Saccharomyces cerevisiae S288C: one gene and its partner. The main gene of each other region encodes a partner of the protein of the gene in region 2 in a complex. Each region holds a gene or a part of one and is shown on either strand. Other genes may lie near its edges. A codon is read from its position in the direction of its gene.

Region 1 (6,901 bases), on a different chromosome or scaffold from region 2:
GGTTAGATCACGCATTAATGCATTAGAAGTTGGCACCGGCGAACACTGGTCAGTTATATGATTACAATATGTCAATGAAAATAGTTTCGGAATGTACGGCATCGGAGTGAAACATAACTGCTTGAATTTTCCACGTCTTTCATCCAAGGATACGCAATGTCGAACATGCTCAACGATATTGCTTCTCTGGGTGCAAGGAAACAACCTGTCCCTTAATATTCCAACTGAGTTCACAGAATCGAATAAGCCTTGAAAATGTATCTTTACCTCGTAATCCCTAGAGAATGTTTTCTTGAATTCTTCAGCCAAGGTACTTGTGTACTGTAATTCATTAGGCTGCGAATCGTATTCCCATTTTTCATAGATTTGCCATGCCATTTTAACCATTTCTTCCAAACCTTTACTCAAAAGTCCGACTCTTTCAATCATTCCAGCAAGAACTCTTGCAATAAAAGCTCCTCTAGAAAAGCCAAACATATAAATTCTATCTCCTGGTTCAAAATACTTCATCAAAAAAAGATATGCAGAACATATGTGATTGTCTAAACTGAATGCGAACATAGAATCTAATAAATTTTGTAAGTGAGAAATAGTTAACCGTCTTCTGACATCAACAACAGCGTCAAATCCAACTGAACCAATTCCAGGTTGGTAATAACAAATTTGTTCAGAACTATCACCGTTCTCAAGAAGGTTGTACAATTTTAAAATATTAGTGAATGGCTGAGGTCCAAAATTTTCTCTTGTTCCATCAAAACAAAGAATGATATTCTTGCCAGACGATGAATGTGAGGATGGATTTATACTTCTGTCGCCTCCCGTCCCATTTTTTTTATATTTTCCATGAATATAATTGAAGCTATCCATCTAATGGATATTATGTTAGTGTATTATTTTTTATAAGTTACATCACCTGTTTGCTGTTATTTTACTACATCTGTCTGAAGTACATTAATTTGTGGCGGTTTAACAGTATATTGAATGTGACAAACACACCCAGACACCTCAATAGACAACAGGAGGGCCATTACCATAATTTCATAACATTAAATATTCCAAGTAACATTTTTCAGAAGACGAAGAAAGACTAATTAACAGGATAATAAATATTAACATTATCTTTTAAGTACCATACTTGAAGCGTCAATTGATGTATGTTTGGTTTTCCACTATTTTCCTAAAAGCATGAATCTTTTCTAGGCAAAAAATTGGAATGACGACTCCTGATCGTTAAAATGGAAGACAAACACTAGAAGTTGACTTCAAAAAAACTTCTTTCATTAAATAAGGGAAATATCCGGCCGGCTCATACTGATAATATACCAGCAACATTTACAGGAAACTGCAGGTTTTAGGCAGTGTGGCGAACCGCAAATAAAGTAATAAACAACAATTTCAAACGGAAAGGACTCCTCTGCTAAAGATTTGATGTTTTTAAGTTCTTTTATAGTTTATATTGGCATAAGAGGTAAACCATATTTAGCACTTATTTTCATAAAGTATTAGAAGTGTTCTTATATATTTCATTACCCGACTTGAAAAATACTACGCGGTTCATTGCGAGAACCTTCAATAAGTGTCGAAAGAGCACCTACATTGGCGTTTAAATAATAAACACACCAACCTACATATTACGTTGAATTTAAATTCTTTCACTGCTTGTAAACCATAGACAATAAACTGATTAATTTAGTATCTAAAAAATCTTTTAAAGGGAAAGAGAAGAGGCGGAAAGATGAGTGATAGGGAATTCGTCACGGTAGATCCCGTCACTATCATAATCAAAGAATGCATTAATTTATCGACAGCGATGCGGAAATACTCTAAATTTACCTCTCAATCTGGAGTGGCCGCTTTGCTGGGGGGAGGAAGTGAAATATTTAGCAATCAAGATGACTACTTGGCTCACACATTCAACAATTTGAATACCAACAAGCACAATGATCCATTTTTATCTGGATTCATTCAGTTAAGACTTATGTTGAATAAACTGAAAAATCTAGATAATATAGATTCACTAACCATATTGCAGCCATTTTTATTAATTGTGAGTACAAGTTCCATTTCTGGTTACATCACTTCCCTGGCCCTGGACTCTTTGCAGAAATTCTTTACCTTGAATATCATCAATGAATCATCGCAAAACTATATTGGTGCACACAGGGCGACGGTAAATGCTCTAACACATTGTAGGTTTGAAGGATCTCAACAACTTTCTGATGATTCAGTTCTTTTGAAAGTCGTGTTTTTACTGCGTTCAATCGTCGACTCACCTTACGGAGATTTATTATCAAACTCTATCATATATGACGTATTGCAAACGATTCTTTCATTGGCTTGTAATAACAGAAGGAGCGAAGTCCTTAGGAATGCTGCACAATCAACAATGATAGCCGTTACCGTAAAGATTTTCTCAAAACTAAAGACTATTGAGCCTGTTAATGTGAATCAAATATACATCAATGATGAAAGTTACACAAATGATGTATTGAAGGCCGATACAATTGGCACAAATGTAGAATCCAAAGAAGAAGGAAGTCAAGAAGATCCCATCGGCATGAAAGTGAATAATGAGGAAGCTATTAGCGAGGACGATGGCATTGAAGAAGAGCATATTCATTCAGAGAAGAGCACAAATGGCGCCGAACAACTAGATATTGTGCAAAAAACAACAAGATCAAATTCCAGGATCCAAGCGTATGCTGATGATAACTATGGATTGCCCGTGGTTAGGCAATATTTAAACTTATTACTATCATTGATTGCGCCAGAAAATGAATTAAAACATTCATACTCCACTAGAATATTTGGCCTAGAGTTAATTCAAACGGCATTAGAAATTTCAGGTGATCGATTGCAGCTATACCCACGGCTTTTTACACTGATATCAGATCCTATTTTCAAAAGCATTTTGTTTATCATACAGAACACTACAAAATTATCACTACTTCAAGCTACATTGCAGCTATTTACTACTCTAGTTGTTATATTGGGCAACAACTTACAATTACAGATCGAGCTCACTCTAACAAGAATATTTTCTATTCTTTTAGATGATGGTACCGCAAATAACTCGAGTTCTGAAAATAAGAACAAGCCATCAATAATAAAGGAACTTCTAATTGAGCAAATATCCATCTTATGGACTAGGTCGCCATCTTTTTTTACTTCTACTTTTATCAATTTCGATTGTAATCTCGATAGGGCAGACGTTTCCATAAACTTTTTGAAGGCTTTGACTAAATTGGCCTTACCAGAATCCGCCTTAACTACCACAGAAAGTGTACCACCCATTTGCCTTGAGGGATTGGTCTCCCTAGTCGATGATATGTTCGATCACATGAAGGACATTGACAGAGAAGAATTTGGCAGGCAAAAGAATGAAATGGAAATCTTAAAAAAGAGGGACCGTAAAACAGAGTTTATTGAATGTACCAATGCATTCAATGAAAAGCCCAAAAAGGGTATTCCGATGTTAATAGAAAAAGGTTTCATTGCTTCCGACTCCGATAAAGATATTGCGGAGTTTCTTTTCAATAATAACAACCGTATGAATAAAAAAACAATCGGTTTGCTACTTTGCCATCCGGACAAAGTAAGCTTGTTGAATGAATATATTCGTTTGTTTGATTTTTCAGGGTTAAGGGTCGATGAAGCTATTAGAATTTTGTTGACGAAATTTAGGTTGCCTGGTGAATCGCAACAAATTGAAAGAATCATCGAAGCCTTCTCGTCTGCGTATTGTGAAAATCAAGATTACGATCCATCCAAAATCAGTGACAACGCGGAGGATGACATTTCTACTGTTCAACCAGACGCTGATTCTGTTTTCATTTTAAGTTATTCAATTATTATGTTGAACACTGACCTACATAACCCTCAAGTGAAGGAACACATGTCATTTGAAGATTACTCTGGTAACTTAAAGGGATGCTGTAATCACAAAGACTTCCCATTCTGGTATTTGGATAGAATTTACTGTTCAATCAGAGATAAAGAAATTGTTATGCCTGAAGAGCACCACGGCAACGAAAAGTGGTTTGAAGATGCTTGGAATAACTTGATATCTTCAACTACTGTTATAACTGAAATAAAAAAAGACACACAATCTGTCATGGATAAATTAACACCCTTGGAGCTTTTGAACTTTGATAGAGCAATTTTTAAACAAGTTGGCCCAAGTATTGTCAGTACTTTATTCAACATTTACGTAGTTGCATCTGATGACCATATATCTACCAGAATGATAACAAGTTTGGACAAATGTTCCTATATTTCCGCATTTTTTGACTTCAAAGATCTCTTTAATGATATACTAAACTCCATTGCTAAGGGCACTACTTTGATTAATTCAAGCCATGACGATGAACTTTCAACTTTAGCTTTTGAATATGGCCCAATGCCACTGGTGCAAATTAAATTCGAAGACACTAACACTGAGATCCCGGTTAGTACAGATGCTGTTAGATTTGGTAGATCATTTAAGGGTCAACTAAATACAGTTGTTTTTTTCCGGATTATTCGCAGGAACAAAGATCCTAAAATTTTCTCCAAGGAATTATGGTTAAACATTGTTAATATTATACTAACATTGTACGAAGACTTGATTTTGTCTCCTGATATTTTCCCTGATTTACAAAAAAGACTGAAATTAAGCAACTTGCCTAAGCCATCTCCTGAAATTTCTATTAACAAGAGCAAAGAAAGCAAAGGTCTCTTATCAACATTTGCTTCTTATTTAAAAGGTGATGAAGAACCCACAGAAGAGGAAATCAAATCCTCAAAAAAAGCGATGGAGTGCATAAAGTCGAGTAATATTGCCGCCTCTGTCTTTGGAAATGAATCAAATATAACAGCGGATTTAATAAAAACTTTACTAGACTCCGCCAAAACTGAGAAAAACGCAGATAATTCCAGGTATTTTGAAGCAGAACTTTTATTTATCATCGAATTGACTATTGCATTATTTCTATTTTGCAAAGAGGAGAAAGAATTAGGAAAGTTCATACTTCAAAAAGTTTTCCAACTTTCTCACACGAAAGGCCTCACGAAAAGGACTGTTCGTAGAATGCTAACATACAAAATTTTGTTAATTTCGTTATGTGCGGATCAGACGGAGTACTTGTCCAAATTAATAAACGATGAGCTGTTAAAAAAGGGGGATATTTTTACCCAAAAATTTTTTGCAACTAATCAAGGTAAGGAATTTTTGAAGAGACTATTTTCATTGACCGAATCAGAGTTTTATAGAGGATTTTTACTAGGAAATGAGAATTTTTGGAAATTTTTAAGAAAAGTTACAGCAATGAAAGAGCAGAGCGAGAGCATTTTTGAATATTTAAATGAATCGATCAAGACAGACAGCAATATTTTGACAAATGAGAACTTCATGTGGGTCCTAGGACTATTAGATGAAATTTCATCAATGGGTGCCGTTGGAAATCACTGGGAAATAGAATACAAGAAATTGACAGAAAGTGGTCATAAAATTGATAAGGAGAATCCATACAAGAAATCGATCGAATTATCATTGAAATCCATTCAACTAACATCACACTTGCTGGAAGATAATAACGATCTGCGTAAAAACGAGATATTCGCTATTATTCAAGCTTTGGCACATCAATGCATCAATCCGTGTAAGCAGATAAGTGAATTTGCAGTGGTAACGCTAGAGCAGACGCTCATCAATAAAATCGAAATTCCAACTAATGAGATGGAATCGGTAGAAGAATTAATTGAGGGCGGATTACTACCGTTGCTAAATTCGAGTGAAACACAGGAAGACCAGAAAATCCTCATTTCATCCATATTAACAATAATTTCAAATGTTTATTTGCATTATTTGAAACTAGGGAAGACAAGCAACGAAACGTTTTTGAAAATTTTGAGTATTTTCAATAAATTTGTAGAGGACTCAGATATTGAAAAAAAGCTACAGCAATTAATACTTGATAAGAAGAGTATTGAGAAGGGCAACGGTTCATCATCTCATGGATCTGCACATGAACAAACACCAGAGTCAAACGACGTTGAAATTGAGGCTACTGCGCCAATTGATGACAATACAGACGATGATAACAAACCGAAGTTATCTGATGTAGAAAAGGATTAAAGATGCTAAGAGATAGTGATGATATTTCATAAATAATGTAATTCTATATATGTTAATTACCTTTTTTGCGAGGCATATTTATGGTGAAGGATAAGTTTTGACCATCAAAGAAGGTTAATGTGGCTGTGGTTTCAGGGTCCATAAAGCTTTTCAATTCATCTTTTTTTTTTTTGTTCTTTTTTTTGATTCCGGTTTCTTTGAAATTTTTTTGATTCGGTAATCTCCGAGCAGAAGGAAGAACGAAGGAAGGAGCACAGACTTAGATTGGTATATATACGCATATGTGGTGTTGAAGAAACATGAAATTGCCCAGTATTCTTAACCCAACTGCACAGAACAAAAACCTGCAGGAAACGAAGATAAATCATGTCGAAAGCTACATATAAGGAACGTGCTGCTACTCATCCTAGTCCTGTTGCTGCCAAGCTATTTAATATCATGCACGAAAAGCAAACAAACTTGTGTGCTTCATTGGATGTTCGTACCACCAAGGAATTACTGGAGTTAGTTGAAGCATTAGGTCCCAAAATTTGTTTACTAAAAACACATGTGGATATCTTGACTGATTTTTCCATGGAGGGCACAGTTAAGCCGCTAAAGGCATTATCCGCCAAGTACAATTTTTTACTCTTCGAAGACAGAAAATTTGCTGACATTGGTAATACAGTCAAATTGCAGTACTCTGCGGGTGTATACAGAATAGCAGAATGGGCAGACATTACGAATGCACACGGTGTGGTGGGCCCAGGTATTGTTAGCGGTTTGAAGCAGGCGGCGGAAGAAGTA
Region 2 (2,998 bases):
CGGCAAGGTTATCACAGATCTATTTTATTGTGGGTAATCTCGTTTCGAATGATTTAATGATAGAATATTATTACCATAACGATAATTTCCACAATATCATCTTCCCATATGATCCCTTGAAACTGGGAACCCATGCCCATGATTCTGCAATGGTTTGGTTTGGTGGCAGAGATATGCATCCAATTGAGCCTACTCAAAAAAACTTCAACACATACTGTAAGTTTTGTGACTACAGACACGTTTGTTCTTGGAAAAATAAAAATGAATTGAAACTTATTGATCTAGGGAAAGAATTAAAAAAAATTATTCTTGAATCAAGTATGAAGTAGTGTAGGTATTGTAACATTATTTATTCTAGTTATTAAAAGGGTGTTGTTTCGTGAATACATTGAAGTCCTTTATTGGGTTATTAAGCACATAAATCTGTTTCTGCTTTCGGACGTCCTGTTTCAATAAATCGGAATTGAAATGACAATTTAATTTAAATGTATATATGCAACTTTCATTAAGAGGTCATTAGGTATTTTAATGCGGCCTTCTCATTCATCGGAACGATGTAATTGCCTTTAGAATTAAAACCCAAAGAGAAACATGTATACACTTACTAACTCTATTATGTTTGGATAGAGCTCCTTGATAATTCAGTTACAAAACAAATTATATGTATATTCAATGCCATTTAAAAAGTATGCATCTACACTTTTTTTTTGCAAATCTTTATCGCTATAACTGTTCCTCTTTTATAACATCAATCAACCAATCTAAACCTTCGGTAATACCTTCGCCTTTAATTGCACTGGATGCTACGATAGACCAACTTCTGTCCTTCAATTCTACAAGATTCAGTTCTTTGGAGACTTCACTGGCACTTAATGCACCCGGTTGGTCTTGTTTATTTGCAAAAACCAGCAGTGCTGCATCTTGCAATTCTTCTTCCTGTAACATCAAATGAAGTTCCTTAGAGGCTGTAGACATACGATCTTTATCAGTCGAATCAACAACGAAAATAACTGCAGCAGTGTCTGCATAATAACACCTCCAGTAGGGCCTGATACTTGTTTGACCACCAAGATCCCAGACGTTCAATTTTAAGTTTTTATAACTTAGCGTCTCTACATTGAAACCAATGGTTGGCTTTGTAGTGACTACTTCGCCAATTTGTAAACGATATAAGATGGTAGTTTTACCTGCACCATCCAAACCCAAAATCAATATACGCAATTCTTTGTTTGAACCCCATAGTTTGTCAAACATTGAACTAAAAATGTTACCCATCTTGATCTATAACTCACTTTACTGGAACTTTCTTCTTAGATCTTTCTTTATTTTTCCTTTGGTTTTAGAAACCTTATTACTCACCGTTTCGTAAATACAAATGAACCACGCAATCCTTTACTACTTGAAAGTTCCGAGAACATTCTGCCTAATATTAATTGTCGTAAATCTAACTTTTATAGGCAAAATAGTTTTATTCAAAATTTCAATTGGAAAGGGCTCTGTTACCCGTCCTGTACGATGCAGTGGGTTTTGTTATTGTCATAAGAAATATTTAACCTACTCTTCCCATATATATCATAGAACACATTCTTAGTATGTTTTGAGAGCATCAATCTAACGTTGCCTTTGTCGTGATTTTGTGCGAGGAGGCGATATAAGAGCTAAACAGATTTTTTTATATTTTAATCAAAAAGCTAATAATTATGGCTTACTCTTTAACAAGGAAATTGCTGAAGGATTGGAAATATTTTATGCGCCATCCTGAGAAGACCCAAGGTCTTTTTCATGTAAGGCCACATGATTCAGACTTACATCTTTGGCACGTGGTAATGTACGAGCCCAGGACTTCTTTGGAAGTATATCTACTACTTTATATTGGCGGAAACGACCAGGATCCATATATCATCATGAAATGTCTGTCTCCAAATTGTTGCTTTCCAATTAACAGAACGGTTTCGATGACACACTTAAACTATCTTTTATTGAAAGACTTGGGATTACAGGATTTACTTTTCCACATATGGCAACCGCTTTTTCATATTCAAGCAACGGAAGACTTACAGTATTCACCGTCAACGGTAAAATTCAACAGGGCGTGGAATAGGATTATATATAAGGACTTTAAATCTTATTTTCCGGAACTGATAGGTACTTTACAACCAGGTGATTACTCTATAGTAAAGAGCTATTCCAAAAATCATAATATCAGCAATAGTAATGGTGGCAGTGTCAATGAATTTATGTCCTCTTACAATGCTCAAAGCCACACCTTTCACGCACAAGACAACAGCAAGAACCCTTATACTAACAGCAGCATAGGAAAGTCTAGTATGTTATCTACTCTCAACAATAATAACGTTAACAAAAGGACACATGACTACAATGCTATCGACTTTATGACCAAAAACTTACTTGCATGTGATGATGACAGTATTCATCCGGTCGTAAGTTCTAAAAGGTCAAGAACGTTGGCATGTCCAGATGAAACGAACGATAATCGCGGTAGTGAGCATTACACAAAGAGGAAAAAAATCTAATGGGTTTATTTTTACATAGAATAGTAGAACTTTCTTCCTTTTTTCACGATTTTTTGCATGGGCATTTGTCACAATATATATTTTTATTCAGTTATATAAATATACTCCTTTTCACAAAAGAAGGCCTAATATTATAGGAAATCAGCATTAAAAACATTATGTATTTCTTTTTTCAGCGGCCGAACGGTCACTAGAATGACTCAGAATGGTTTTTATCATCTCGTTGCCAATGAGATTAGCCTCTGGAAGCATTGGCTCAAAGAACTTTTGAACACTCTGAAATTGCTTTTTGTATATATCAAAATTGGCAAAAGAAACAACCGAGCTCCATTCTCTAGCCGAAATAACAAATTCTAAATCATCTTTTATGAATGATTTATCATGGATAGCTGCATCAATTGTCTGTTCTAATAAGCCAGGTTTTAAAAAAAGATATTCGGACACACCCAGGAATATTCTGAATA

The links.
Region 1: the proteins of ARL1 (region 2) and GEA2 are in contact, whole or in part, in a cryo-EM structure (PDB 8EZJ), measured with the Saccharomyces cerevisiae proteins. Residues at the interface, in NP_009723.3 of Saccharomyces cerevisiae: Ile50 (codon at 1,128), Gly51 (codon at 1,125), Phe52 (codon at 1,122), Ser74 (codon at 1,056), Ile75 (codon at 1,053), Pro77 (codon at 1,047), Tyr78 (codon at 1,044), Arg80 (codon at 1,038), Cys81 (codon at 1,035), Tyr82 (codon at 1,032); in NP_010892.1 of Saccharomyces cerevisiae: Pro71 (codon at 1,946), Phe72 (codon at 1,949), Ser74 (codon at 1,955), Gly75 (codon at 1,958), Gln78 (codon at 1,967), Leu79 (codon at 1,970), Met82 (codon at 1,979), Asp93 (codon at 2,012), Leu95 (codon at 2,018), Thr96 (codon at 2,021), Ile97 (codon at 2,024), Gln99 (codon at 2,030), Pro100 (codon at 2,033), Leu103 (codon at 2,042), Thr107 (codon at 2,054), Ala144 (codon at 2,165), Asn147 (codon at 2,174).

The regions. Positions count from the first base shown.
Region 1 is NC_001137.3:109,686-116,586, forward strand, and holds GEA2 (Arf family guanine nucleotide exchange factor GEA2), read left to right. Parts: upstream 1-1,735; coding exon 1,736-6,115; downstream 6,116-6,901. Other genes in the region: YEL023C (uncharacterized protein), read right to left, coding at 1-867; URA3 (orotidine-5'-phosphate decarboxylase), read left to right, coding at 6,482-6,901. UniProt on the Saccharomyces cerevisiae protein: Activates the ARF proteins by exchanging bound GDP for free GTP. Plays a role in maintaining mitochondrial morphology. Stimulates DRS2 flippase activity.
Region 2 is NC_001134.8:567,152-570,149, forward strand, and holds ARL1 (Arf family GTPase ARL1), read right to left. Parts: upstream 1,276-2,998; coding exon 724-1,275; downstream 1-723. Other genes in the region: EXO5 (Exo5p), read left to right, coding at 1-329; UBS1 (Ubs1p), read left to right, coding at 1,701-2,534; TYR1 (prephenate dehydrogenase (NADP(+))), read right to left, coding at 2,691-2,998. UniProt on the Saccharomyces cerevisiae protein: Recruits golgins such as IMH1 to the Golgi. Can bind and hydrolyze GTP. May be involved in trafficking events within the endosomal system.